Saccharomyces cerevisiae S288C: one gene and its partner. Changing the gene in region 1 together with any one later gene gives a genetic interaction. Each region holds a gene or a part of one and is shown on either strand. Other genes may lie near its edges. The genes, in order: YIR042C and SPS2.

Region 1 (6,561 bases):
AAATATTTTACCTTTCAACTTTACGAAATAAACACTTTGACTTGAAGTATGAGCACTACCATGACGTCATTAATGTAAAAGTTCCTTAATATCGTCGTACCACTATGCTCTATTTAATATATTGTAATATAACTGCACTCTATAGTCATACAGATATTTTCACTTCGCCCTATCTTCCCATACTATTGTCATGGAATCTCACACTGACGCATGATTAAACGAACAATTTATACTATAAGGTCTGTCATTTGCGCTCTATCCTTTTGTTTGCAATATTTATATACAGAATCTCAAAACAAGCGGGAGAAGTGGTAATTACCCAGAGGTCATGCATGATCTGAGTACCACCATACCTCTAAGTTTTTGCTTTGATCCGTTTTACAGTGACAACAAACATAAGGAGAAGGCATTAAAATGGTATCGAAAGGTTATCAATATAGGGAAATAAATTGGTTCTATGAATCTTCATGTAAGATACTCGTAGGCCAGACTCTTTCCCGTGTAAATATTTGTGACAGCTACGTCTATTTTCTACTATATGTTTACACAGTTTTCTCACAGGCAATCTACGCTTAAATATGTGTTTCATTTCAGGCGGCAACTGCTGTGCGAGCAGTGACATTGCCGGTCGCACCTTAAAACGTAAGCCAAAGTTATGACACGCTCTCAAAGTACCCGCATTAAAGTTTTATAAAAGTATTATTACGACTATCGAGTAACTTAGATAGAAAACCGGAAATGAAATGGATGCCCTTTTCGAATAGCTGAGTTTCTTTGTCTAAAATAGCCCAACATTGTTGCCCTTTTTCTATCATGAGATTGCACGAACGCGCGCGCTTCGGCGGCTTTTTTTTCTGCTACATAAAAGCGAAAAGGAAGAAGTTATTACTTTGAATAAAAAAACCTCGAACTGCCATCTCACTACCAAATGAAAGAGAATGAAGTCAAAGATGAGAAAAGCGTAGATGTGTTATCCTTCAAACAGCTCGAATCCCAAAAGACTGTTTTACCCCAGGATGTTTTCCGAAACGAATTGACCTGGTTTTGTTATGAAATTTACAAGTCTTTAGCGTTTCGCATCTGGATGCTATTATGGCTACCACTTAGCATCTGATGGAAACTTTCCAACAATTGGGTTTACCAATTTATAGTTTCACTTCTTGTCCTGGTTTTGGGACCAATATTTCTCCTTGTTATTCGTGAACCTTCTCGTAAGCGCTCCTTATCGAAACAACTCACTCAGTTTTGCAAAGATATTACTAAAAACGCACCAAGTTTGGATACTCATAATTGGGAAATCGTTGCAGCAAATCTAAATTCGTACTTATATGAAAATAAGGCTTGGAATACTAGGTACTTTTTCTTCAATGCCATGGGCTGCCAAGAAGCGTTCAGAACAACCCTTCTCGAACCCTTCTCTTTGAAAAAAGACGAAGCTGCCAAGGTTAAGTCATTTAAGGATTCCGTCTCTTACATTGAAGAAGCATTGGGAGTTTATTTTACAGAAGTTGAAAAACAATGGAAGTTGTTTAATACTGAAAAATCATGGAGCCCTGTTGGCCTAGAAGATGCTAAACTTCCCAAAGAAGCTTACCGATTTAAGCTTACCTGGATTCTTAAAAGGATTTTCAAGCTGCGGTGTTTACAAGTCTTCCTTTATTATTTTTTAATTGTCTACACGTCTGGAAATGTTGACCTTATATCACGTTTCTTGTTTCCGGTAGTAATGTTTTTTATCATGACGAGAGATTTCCAAAATATGGGAATGATTGTTTTATCCGTTAAAATGGAACACAAGATGCAGTTCTTGTCAACTATTATAAATGAGCAAGAAAGCGGTGCGAATGGATGGGACGAAATTGCAAAGAAAATGAATAGGTATTTGTTTGAGAAAAAAGTCTGGAATAATGAAGAGTTTTTCTACGATGGACTTGACTGTGAATGGTTTTTTAGCTGCTTTTTCTATCGCCTTTTATCTTTAAAAAAAACTATGTGGTTTGCTTCGTTGAACGTTGAGCTATGGCCATACGTTAAAGAAGCACAATCCGTGGTAACAAGTCTTTAGTGAAAAAGTGAACATGTTTTTTTCAACCTAAAAGGTGGGTTAAGATTTTCATCGAGCAATTTTATGCACACAGCACGACATGGTTCAGAGTATAATATATTGGAAGAAAATGCACACGAGCATAATTCTCAAATTATATATAATTACTGAGTATTAATTACAACCGGACACGCTCCATAATTATTCTTTTAAGATTATTGTTTATTAAGGAGCACTTCTAGAAAATAAATGTTTGGAGCCATTAAAATGTAAACTAGCAGATAATTATAATTTATATTCCTTAAAGGCACAAATCTCCGTAATATGTGTATGTATTTATTACTTTTGAGTTTGCCTATTTAGCACAGAGCGGATCGAAAGTATTGGAATAGTAACACCGATATTATTTCTTGGAGGCTTCTCATGAGCCAGCATCATTTTAAAGTCAAGCAGTTGAAATGGAGTACATTTCCTCATATTTTCTATATATACACGAGTTCTTATTTAACTTGAATTGAGTGATTTGTTTTCATCATCTCTTGGCAATTTGTTTTTGAAATATTTTTTGAAAAGAAAGATGCAAATTTCGCGAATCACATTTTCTGTTGCATCGATAAGGTTATTGCTGATCATAAACACATTTATGTGAGATTTGTTTCAATAGCGCACGCACTTATACGCCACTCGCTGAATTTGTCTCCTTCTCAAAATTGGGATTATCATAAGGCATAAGTGTATATTAGAAAATTATGCAAACTCTGTACCTATATTTGCAGAGTCTATAAGAAGCTGTTTACTGGGCTTACAATAAAGCAGATCTCTTGTACTGTAATACGTCTTGGATCATCGCCAGTGTGAAAGTCAAAAAGTTCGTAGTTCTTTGTGCACGTGATATTTGCTCTGTTTATTGGTTCATAATGGAAGGTTGTTTTTTTTTTGAGCCATTCTTCAAAGGTTGATAGGAGGTTGATAAGAGGTTGATAAACAATCAACAATGATATAAAAATAGCATGGGAGGACGCCTTGCAAGAATTTTCCCGCCTCTGAACCTGGAAATAATGCCCTTCAGTAGAAACAATTATGGCGAATTTAAATATATTTGGGCAAGAAGTTGGTGCTGACGTCGAAGGTTGGACAACAAGGGCCTTCCCAGAGAAAGTTGTATTGAAAGGTAACACTTGCAGACTAGAACCTCTAGATAGAGAAAGACATGGTTCGGAACTTTTTAGTGCCTATAGTGAGGCAGGCCAAAAATTATGGACGTATTTACCTGCGGGACCATTCACTAACTTGGAGGAATATCTAGAATTCATTAAGGAACTCAATGAAACTAAAGATACTGTGCCTTTCGCAATTATTAATAAAGAGACTGAACGTGCCGTTGGTACATTGTGCTTAATAAGAATCGATGAAGCCAACGGTTCACTAGAAGTTGGATATGTTGTTTTTTCACCAGAATTACAGAAGACGATTATTGCAACTGAAGCTCAATTTCTGTTAATGAAGTATGTATTTGATGATCTTCAATACAGGAGATATGAGTGGAAGTGTGATAGTTTAAATGGGCCGTCAAGGAGGGCAGCGATGCGCTTAGGCTTTAAGTATGAAGGCACGTTTCGACAAGTGGTGGTATATAAGGGTCGCACTCGCGACACTCAATGGTTTTCAATAATCGATAAAGAATGGTTACGCATTCGTAAAACCTTTGAAGAATGGTTAGACAAAACAAATTTTGAAAATGGCAAACAAAAGAGAGGAATAGCAGCAATAAGAGAAAGCTTGTCAAACTGAAAACTCGCCCTCTCTTTCATGCAGGACATATGTATATATAGCATTTTTTGGTTACCATACTGTAGACTAGGATTTTTTTGCAGTCATGTGAATTTTCCGACTTCACCTTCAACAAAGAAAAATCGCATTTACAATGACTAAGACTTCACGCATTTGCGCTGATCTCCTTTAAGCTTGAATGACATTGAAATGTTACGTCGATACCGATAATATTTTGGGCTCTCGGTTTTGATTTAAACCAGGAAGCGTAGCTCTCACCTTACTAAGGCTCACATCATGTCATTTATAGTGTCATTTTGGCCCTAACTATATTCCACCTTTCTTCCATATAATAGTTTCAACCTTAACCTCAAAATGTATCATTTAATTTTTCTCATACTCTATCATATTTGTTATATAAACGTACAAAGATTGTAATGTTAACTATGCTAAAGTACAATTATTCACAGCATACTACACCGCGCTACGGTTCGTTACCAACCCTCACTAAACCCATAACGAAAGTGGGTTATCTTTACTATTTTAAACTATATTTTCCTTTTCTTTTCAGTATCCTCCTTACCGTACTAGCACATTTTTCTTATATGTCTTTTTATTTTCCCATCGTTGAATATATTCAAGTATCCGTTCTGGTTCTACAGTATTTAATATTCACGGGTCAAGACAAGAGCAACTCTACTGCTGTAACAGGTGAATAGCTTGAACGGATTCTGATCTACGAATCCTGTTGTAAAACTGGCCTATTCCGTACAGCTCACATAAAAAAACCCCTAGTTGTGAGAAAGATAAAAGAGCAACTATGCGTTCCCTATTATATTGACGCCCAGCCGGTAGTTCGTGAAAGCAAATGAATTTATAATATTAATATATGTTTATATGTAATCAGCTGTATTTATATTGAAAGCATTTTTTATTTCATTTTTTCGTTACTTTCAATGTCTATGGAATCTCATTCGTAAAGGCATGTCTCTATTTTGGAATAGCAGTGTAAATACCGTCCTTAGATAGAGCACTGGAGATAGCTGGTCTCAATCTGGTAGAGTACCATGGAACACCAGTGATAACTCTGGTGACTTGTTCAGCTGGAATACCAGTCAACATGGTGGTGAAGTCACCATAGTTGAAAACAGCTTCAGCAATTTCAACTGGGTAGGTCTCACTTGGATGAGCTGCTTGAAACAAGTAGTATTGGGCCAAATGAGCTCTGATATCGGAGACGTAAACACCCAATTCGACCAAGTTAACTCTTTCGTCAGATGGAGATAGAGTGGTAGTGGCTGGGGCAGCGGCAACACCAGCAGCGATGGCGGCGACACCAGCAGCGATTGAAGTTAATTTGACCATTATATTTGTTTTGTTTTTTAGTGCTGATATAAGCTTAACAGGAAAGAAAGGAATAAAAACATATTCTCAAAGACATACAGTTGAAGCAGCTCTATTTATACCCATGCCTTCATCAGTCATCACTACTTAAACGATTCGTTAACAGGTGCTCATTTAGCACCTCACATATCCTCCATATCTCATCTTTCACACAATCTCATTATCTCTATGGAGATGACCTTGTTTCTGAACGAATCATACATCTTTCATAGACTTCGTATGTGGAGTATTGTTTTATGGCACTCATGTGTATTCGTATGCGCAGAATGTGGGAATGCCAATTATAGGGTGCCGAGGTGCCTTATAAAACCCTTTTCTGTGCCTGTGACATTTCCTTTTTCGGTCAAAAAGAATATCCGAATTTTAGATTTGGACCCTCGTACAGAAGCTTATTGTCTAAGCCCATATTCAGTCTGCTCTAAACGGCTTCCATGCAAGAAATATTTCTATCTCTTGAATTCGTACAACATTAAACGTGTGTTGGGAGTCGTATACTGTTAGGGTCTGCAAATATGTAAACTCTCGGCGAAGGCCTTGGTGCAATTACGTAATTGTAGCCGCTGAGAGGCGGATGGTATTGAGAGAAGTTGATATTCAAAGAATTGATTATGATAAAAAAAAAAAATTGTAACCAATCCGTAAATACTGAAACTCTTTGCAGTAAGAAATCTTTCATCCCCAGAGAGAACGCGGAAATATTCAGCCTAAGTCTCTCCAAATTGATTTCTTTCATTTTGGTAGCGAAAGACTTAGTATCAACCTCAAAAAGTTGAAATTTTTGTAGATATATGTGCGGATGACATGAAGTATCCAGCTCCTTTGTGAATATGGAAGCAAGTTTCTTTCAAATTATTATCGACTTTTCCTCTGCCCCTTTTACCTTATAACTTTAGGAAACACTACCCTATCCATACTCAACTAAAAAAGTAGTACGTTTTCTTCTTTGAGAGGTATGGTGCAAACCAGTGCAATCTGATTCCAGATTGCCCTCACGTGAGGCTTCAGTAAATCTCGATCCCTCTACATATTACATTATCTCCTACTTGGCAAAATAGATGTGGCTTTAGTTGATGAAAATTTACCACGTCAACTATTTATGTCCTTTCTACAATAAACCCCGACCTACTATCCTCTATGTTGTTTTTAACATACCATACGAGCGTCATATGTCTTTTGGTTCACTGGGGAAGACCATCACTGTTGAACGTTTGTTGAAAAGTTCGAGATGATGAAGATTGCATAACAAAATGTAAAGTTATTTTTAGAAACTATAACGGTTCAAGACATTCAACACTATAACATAGCTTGGCTGGCTTGAACATAAAGAGGAAGAAGCAAAAGCA
Region 2 (7,508 bases), on another chromosome or scaffold:
TTCCAAGTTCTTTGGCCTACGGAGAAAGAGGTGTCCCAGGCGTCATTCCTCCAAGTGCTGATTTGGTGTTTGATGTCGAATTGGTAGACGTGAAATCAGCCGCCTAGGTAAATTGGCACTCAGGCACATATCTGCAACAAGATGCATGGAGTACGTATGTGGCAAACTTTTTTTTATAGTTGAAAATATATCCATATGAGGATGCCAGCCATCATGTCAAGTTTCAATGTAATTATGGTTGTGTATATTATGTTTGCAGCAAAATAAAATAAAAGGGCTCTAACTACAATATATTAATATAAAGAAATGTTATTCAATCTAGTTTGGGTATGAATTTTTTCCCTCTTAATAAAAATAGTTTAAGTAGTTTGTTCAGTCTTCTTATCGCTGGTAAACATTTTTTGGGAATTTGGTTTTAAACTATCAAAAAAATCCTGAAAAAAGTCTTCAAAGGAATTGAATTGGTCGACGTCAGGAATCATGAAGTGACTACTGGACAAGTTCTCGTGCAAAGTACCAACATTAGTAGGCGAAGTAGCGGGTTTCGCGGCGTGCAGATTTCCTGCTCCTGTGTAGTTATTAGCATTAGTCGACATTTTATCATTATCACTATTCTCTTTTGACAAACTGCCAAAATTAATACGAGTCTTACTAGTATCAATTATAGATTTTATGATTTTTCCAACGTTATCAGTAGCCTCATTCATTTTTTCCCCTATAGTGCTCAAATGCCAGTACACTTTTGTACAAAGACTCAAAACGCGTTGACGTTCAGAAGAATCGAACCAATAAAGATAGTCACAAAGAGTTAAACAGGCGTAGACTAGTTGATGACAAGTAAAAATCGGAGCACCCCTTATTAACGTTGGCGGTAGTCTCAAAAACCCATTCAACAGCGAAAATGAATGTTCTTTCATCGTATTAAGAATTAGTTTCAAAAACCTTTGGTTGCTTTTTAGCGTGGAAGAAAATTCTGTGATAAAAGTGCGACATATCATGATATGATAAAAATCAAATGTGAACAATAGCACGCCCGCGCCATCCTTTGCTAAAAGCTCTTCCCAATTTTTCAGCCAATAATTTAGCTCTGGAAAAACAAAGATAAAAGTATCTGCGTTACCTCCATATCTGTCATTGTTAAAGTCATCCAAACACTGCGCAAAATAATTTTTAAGGTTTATAAAGATGCCATTTACGATGTCACCTAAATTTATCTCACTGATTTTAATGTCATCACCAAAATTCGCCTGAGGAAATTTCGCCACAAGTTTATTAAACTCTTTAAGCATATCATCCTGTTCCCTAATATCGCCGTAACTAATGGAATATTCTAAATAGCAGGCAGTTAGTGAATTTAGTATTCTTAGATGATAAAGATCTTCGGGATTATACACTTCTTTTACCAAAACCCTATCCTTTATCTGATAAAAATCTATTACATGTAACAAGCTATTGAGCGCAAAATTGCTTAGTACCAGAGAATTAAACTTCAGTTGCCTATATCTCTTTGCCTTTCGCGAAATATGGAACATACAGCAATATAAAATAGCCTCAATATCAAACGCTGTTAACTTTTCAAACATGGTTAACGTATTAGTGAGTAATCTCTCCACTAAAGGATACAATATTTCTTGTTCTGCAGCGTATTTATCGTTGTCAGCAAAACTCATAGCGATAATAGTAAAAACACTTGTAATAAATAGGTGTGAGTGGGCATATTCCACGTCTATCTCTTTTCTCCCACCTGGAATTATCCAGAAATGGGATCTCACCAGAAATTCTTTTGCAAGCTTATGGCATAATTCCTGATTATTCTCATAAAAATGGAGAAAGTTCACTCTTGCAACAGCATATGGCCTTTGCTGTCCAGCTAGCTTCGCAGCTTTAGATGTAGCCTTCGATGGAAATAGCCTCTCATCAATATCATGTAGCAATTTTAAAGGAGATTCCTTCAACTTAAATCCATTTAAGAAAAGATTTTCTTTTCTATATTCCCCTGTTTTCCTTATCGTCTCTGAGCCCGAAGTTAGACGACTATCGTACGTCTTATTTGAGCTGAAATCCACGTTCTGAATATCATCTCCAGGGCCTTTGATATCGCTGTTATAAGACATCTTTGCTGTGGTGATTATCAAGTCCATTTTCTGGTGTAAAGATTTTATGTGCTCTTCTAAAGATGAAAGCCTTTTATCGATCATGTAATTATCAAAATTGACCGTTCCATTCTTTTCAAAACTACTTTGGCTTTCGTTGGGAGAGTCCGCATTCAAATGAGAGAAAGAACCAAGGTTGTGATTAATTGAGTTGATCTTCTTTAGTAGACCATCCTCACGTAAAGTATTCAAAATTTCATTGTCTTTATTCCTGGCTAAGGAGCAATCAAGCTGCAGAACGTTACATCTGTAACATTTTCCAATGAAAGGTTCAAAATCGCACCTTGTCTTCACTCTCCTGCAAGTATCACAACTAAATGTTTTTCTTTTCTTTCTAGGTTTTTTGTTGCCATTATTCTTAGGACTGTTCGTTTCACTGCGCTCTTTGGCTCTTGCACTATCCTCTGGGTGGTTTATTATGGATCTGATACTATTTCGCACCTTTCCAGAAGCAGAATTATATCCAGCAGTCATCGGTAAACCATCTGGTCTGGGGCTTACTGAGGCATTTGAGTTTATATCCATTTTTTTCCCTGATGTTCAGCAAACCGAAAGAAATATAAAATACAACTGGGAAAGATGTTTTAATGGTGAGTAAGCAAAATGTGAGTGGTTTTAACCCTAAGGAAGAACCGTATCAAAACACTATTTTTCAATTAAATCATCTACCTAATGAGCTCATTTTGTTAAGATGATCTACCATAATAATTATTCAAAAACTGTCAAAATTAAAAGGAGGGTAACAGTTTCAATAGTTTAACCAGTTTTGGTAATGCCTGAAATAACATAAAAAGCTGATGCTAAGTGGGCTACGCTATGCTCCAGGTGAAGATAATCAGAACACTACATCTCTACTGCAAATTTATATCTCATAAGAACTAAATAAAATGGCTAGTATTTAAGTTAATCTTCTAACCTAAAAAATTATCGAGAACAATACCGTGAAAACTGCATAAACTGACATTTTGAAAGCATCAATAAAAATGTTCTTCGGAGCACTGTTTTCCATCTTCTTTGAACTTCCTTGACTTTTTGCACCATTTTTTCCTTTTTCTTTCTTTCCATTATCATTGTCAGTTTCCTGCTTTCCTAGTACATTCCCCTCTTCATCAACATTCAGCATTTTACTTTTCATACCAGATGTGCATTCGATTTTACCGCCTCTTATGATCGAACGACCGGCTTTTGGTGATGTAAATTCTTCACAGTTTAATTCCTCAGATGAACTTTTGATATAAGCGCTACCTTTTACTAACTTTAGCTCTGGGAGGTCAATTTTATCAAAGCTACCTTCAAAATATATTGCACCGCCAATTTGCCTCAACTTGGGGAAGAAATCAATTTTGGCAAGCTCTGTATTGTTAGCAATCATTAGACCCCCTTGAATATCGGTGGCATTCGAAAAGTTTAGCTTTTTCAGATTTTTATTATCTATTAACCCCAACGTTCCTTGAACTTTTGCCAAAAGTGGTAGTTCCAAGCTTGAAAATTGATTCTCGATGAACTCTAGAGAACTGTTCACAGAGGAAAGTTTAGCTAGTTTAATTTCTGAAACGTCCTTAATGGTCATATTTTCAACCGTGTGTAAGTTGCTCAAATCAAGTTCCAGCTCTTTGGCATTAGAGTGGACGGTTAGTTGTTTAGTAACACTTTCTAAACTTGCGAATAAATTTTCTAAAAACCTGTTATTGTTGATATTGAAAATATCCACTTTCTTGACGTTATTGAAGTAATCGATGGAGGTTAATGCAGTATCAGATATGATAATATTTTTGATCTTTTTAATATTTCCGTTAATGACAACACTACTTAGAATAGGCAAAACTCTCCAATCAACGGTTTCAACTTCTTTTAAAGCGGGAAAGTCTAATGATACAAAGGAAGTTAGGCTATCCAATTCCAACTTTCCCAAAGACTCTAAATTATAACCCTGGATTCTAAAAATGTGTTTGTTATTCTTGATAATAAGATCTCCCTCTATCTCTCTTATTAACCCTAGATCAATAAGAGATCCGCTGTAGTTACTTGATATTTCAATGTTTCCTACCACTTTCCAACATTTAGCTTGCAGTTCAATCAAATTTCCAGCATTCTCAATATGATACAAGCCTTTTTTACAGTCTTCATCTACTTGTGTTTGTTTTGTTGGAGAAATCACCTCAAAATCAGTTTGTTCCTTTTTAGGGATCGTTGCATTAGTGTTAACCAACATAATGTTGTGATCTAGAATATTCGGTCCACCATTAGGTTCAACTGCAGCGGATGATTTAATTAACTGCAGAAACAAGAATAAAAATCTTAAGATTGTGTTCAACTGGTTCAACATGCTATCCTTTTCTTTTTTTGTAGAAACTTTGGTTTCTTTATTGACTATTTGAATAACAGAAATACTAGTGAAGAATGTTTGTGTTTTCCAAATTGGCATTTTCTTTTATAGTCTAAGTAATGCCACAAAATATTTTTTTTGAGACGCATCAATGACGGGACAGTAAAGACATAAACGCTCGATCAGAAAAAAAGAATCGAAAAAAAAAGGGAGAAATAAGCAGGTAAATAATCAAAAACACATGACTTTTTACTGTTTGTTATATAATTCAATATATCCATCCTTCATTTATTGAAGATGAAAGAGAATGGAAAACAAAAACTCATGCATATACACACATTATATATATATATCTATTTTTTTAAACGAATCCTTTCTTTATTGCTTCAATTCTTAGTGAGATCTCTTCTATAAAAACCTCATTAAATCCAGGAACGTTTGCCTCAGTTTTAATGAATTGCTTTAACATTTCATTTACGTATTTTCTTGTTTCATCGTCGCGCGCACGATCATACATTCTGTTGAGAATATGAGATACAATGTTTTTCAAGTAGTCAAACTTTTCTATCTTCAACGCCTGAATATCGTTCTTTTTATGCTTCTTATTATGATTAGAGAGAGGAACTATTTCGGTCTCTGCTTGAGCATTTGGGCAGCCTGAATCTATATCCATTCCTGAATCAAGCTCGAAAACTGGTTGCGTACATTTTCTAAATGATGAAGAACTTGGGTTGGTTATCGGCGTTACAGTTTGCCCATGAAGTAAATAAGGACTTTCCATATTTAAAGATGATGTTGGAGAGTCTTGTGTAATGGGAGATAATTCCTCTTTGGAAATTTGTGTTGTGCTTAGTCTTGTCGATTCAAAATTCCAAAATTCCTTTCCCCTCACTGTGTTGCTGTTTTTATACAAGCGATTTTGAAGAGGGTATTTGGGAACTTTTGTATATCTCTCCTGAACCTTTTTCTGTTTAATTAGATCAACATCACTTTTCAAGTTCGTTATGGTGATATTCTTAACAAATTCAAATGATAACAAGTTATATGCCGATGGCCGATCAGCAGGTGTTTTAACAAGACAACCAGCTACGAAATCCTTTGCTGCATCCGAAAAGGGACCTTGTAATTTTGGAGGCTTCCTTTTTGGTAAGTTAGTCATAACTTTCATAGGATCATATTTAGATAATGGGGGTAAGCCCTTGAGTAACTCATAGGTGGTGATACCCAAGGACCATATATCTGCTTTCTCATTATACCCATCAACTTCGCAGCAAACAACTTCCGGAGCCATCCAATACGGCGTTCCTACAAAAGTGTCCCTTTTCAAAGTGGAACGAATGTGGCCACTTACTCCGAAATCACCCAACTTAACCATACCTTCTTCATTTAGTAAAATATTAGCTGCTTTGATATCACGATGAATTTTCCTTTGCTCATGCAGGTATTTCAAACCCAAGGTGACTTCATGAATAATGAAGGAAACTTTTTCTTCAGGCAAACCGTTGACGTAACTTCGCTTCAGTAAATCTGAACATGATCCACCGCCGCAATATTCCATGACAATCCACATAGAGACATCTTCTAACATTGTTGCAATATAGTTTGTAATAAGAGGAGATTTCAATTCCGCCAGAAAAAAAATTTCCTGTGCTAACAGTTCAATGTCTTCGTCGGAATGCTCCAGGTTGACCACCTTAATTGCCACAATTTCTTGCGTAACTCTATCCACTGCTTTATACACATCACCAAAGTTACCTCTGCCAATACATGATTGGATGGAATATAGCTTCGATGGAGGGGTTCTTGACCTAATTGATATTTCTTTGCTTTCCATTTTGTGCTATTTTCTTTTGTTGTTTAGTAAATGAATTAGCTAGTAAAAAAACTAAATTTAAAAAGCAAATGCTGGTTTGCTTTCTTTTGAGAAATGTTTGCTAAGACAACTGACTAGCCAGGTGTTCACTAAATCGATAATATTGAAAATGGCAAAATAAGAAAAAAAAAGAAGAGAATTAGCTGGCTTTTTTTGGATAGGAAATATTAAATGAAGCAGTTGGAACCAAGATAATAAACAAAAACAGTATATTAAGTGACTCTTTAGTATATATCTGAACTAACAAGTAAAATATCGATGTTAGAAATGGTTACAATAGAAGAAAGTAGTGTCATTCTTTCGCGTCAAAAAAAAAAAATGGAATTTGTGTCTTTTTCGTTTTTATGTGTCATTTTTTTTTATCCCTGATGCCGCATTGTTCCGAACCTGGGACAGCTCCGAAATATAACTTGAGGAAAAAGTATTAGAAAAGGGAAAAAAATACAGTTAAATTATCATATATGTTATTTTTTGTCCTTTTTGGCCAATTTTAAAGACTTATGCATTGTTAATAAGTTTGTTGGGGACATCAAATTTTGAGAAGACTTAGGAATGGAGCTCAAACTCCACCTTTTACTTGCTGAGGCACTTCTTTCAGGTATGTTAACTCTCAAATCGTGTTTCTTATTGTAGGACGAAGCTGAATCTACATTTGAATGCATATTTAAATGCGGCCCTGATCTTGGACGAGAAGTATTTACAGCTTGGAATGTTCCGTACATCTCCAACTTAGTTTCCCAATATTCTAAAACCTTTGGAGACCAATTCGTAGTAATCTTCGGTAAATTATCTATATGAATACCATTGCACAATAAAAATTCTGTAATAAAAAAAATGGGCGTTCCATCAACAATTTCATAGTGCTTTAGGGAATATTGAAAAATGGAAGAATGGTTTAGATCATTCTGCTCTTTTTCGCTTGCCGTCAATTCTCTTAGGGAATATTTACTTTGGGCGATGGCTCTTTGCATCATGAAAACACTATCTAAATGGATAGCTTTAATTAAAGACTTCAAAGAAGCCTCTCTGCCTTGGTTGCTGTCGATAACAAACTTTTTAAATTGATACTTATCAATAATGAATTTGGATCTTTCCGAGTCATCAGAATTTGCAGTTATTTTTTTAACTGGAAAGTTCCTGAGATTGCTTTCATAAA

The links.
Region 2: mutations in YIR042C (region 1) and SPS2 together harm fitness more than expected from each alone (negative genetic interaction), as found in Saccharomyces cerevisiae (2 studies listed by BioGRID).

Annotation. Positions count from the first base shown.
Region 1 is NC_001141.2:432,547-439,107, reverse strand, and holds YIR042C (uncharacterized protein), read left to right. Parts: upstream 1-3,124; coding exon 3,125-3,835; downstream 3,836-6,561. Other genes in the region: seripauperin PAU15, read right to left, coding at 4,805-5,179.
Region 2 is NC_001136.10:1,480,726-1,488,233, forward strand, and holds SPS2 (Sps2p), read right to left. Parts: upstream 4,579-7,508; coding exon 3,070-4,578; downstream 1-3,069. Other genes in the region: peptidylprolyl isomerase family protein FPR2, read left to right, coding at 1-107; URC2 (Urc2p), read right to left, coding at 360-2,678; putative serine/threonine protein kinase SPS1, read right to left, coding at 4,841-6,313; GTPase-activating protein AGE1, read right to left, coding at 6,817-7,508. UniProt on the Saccharomyces cerevisiae protein: Involved in middle stages of meiosis. Redundant with SPS22 for the organization of the beta-glucan layer of the spore wall.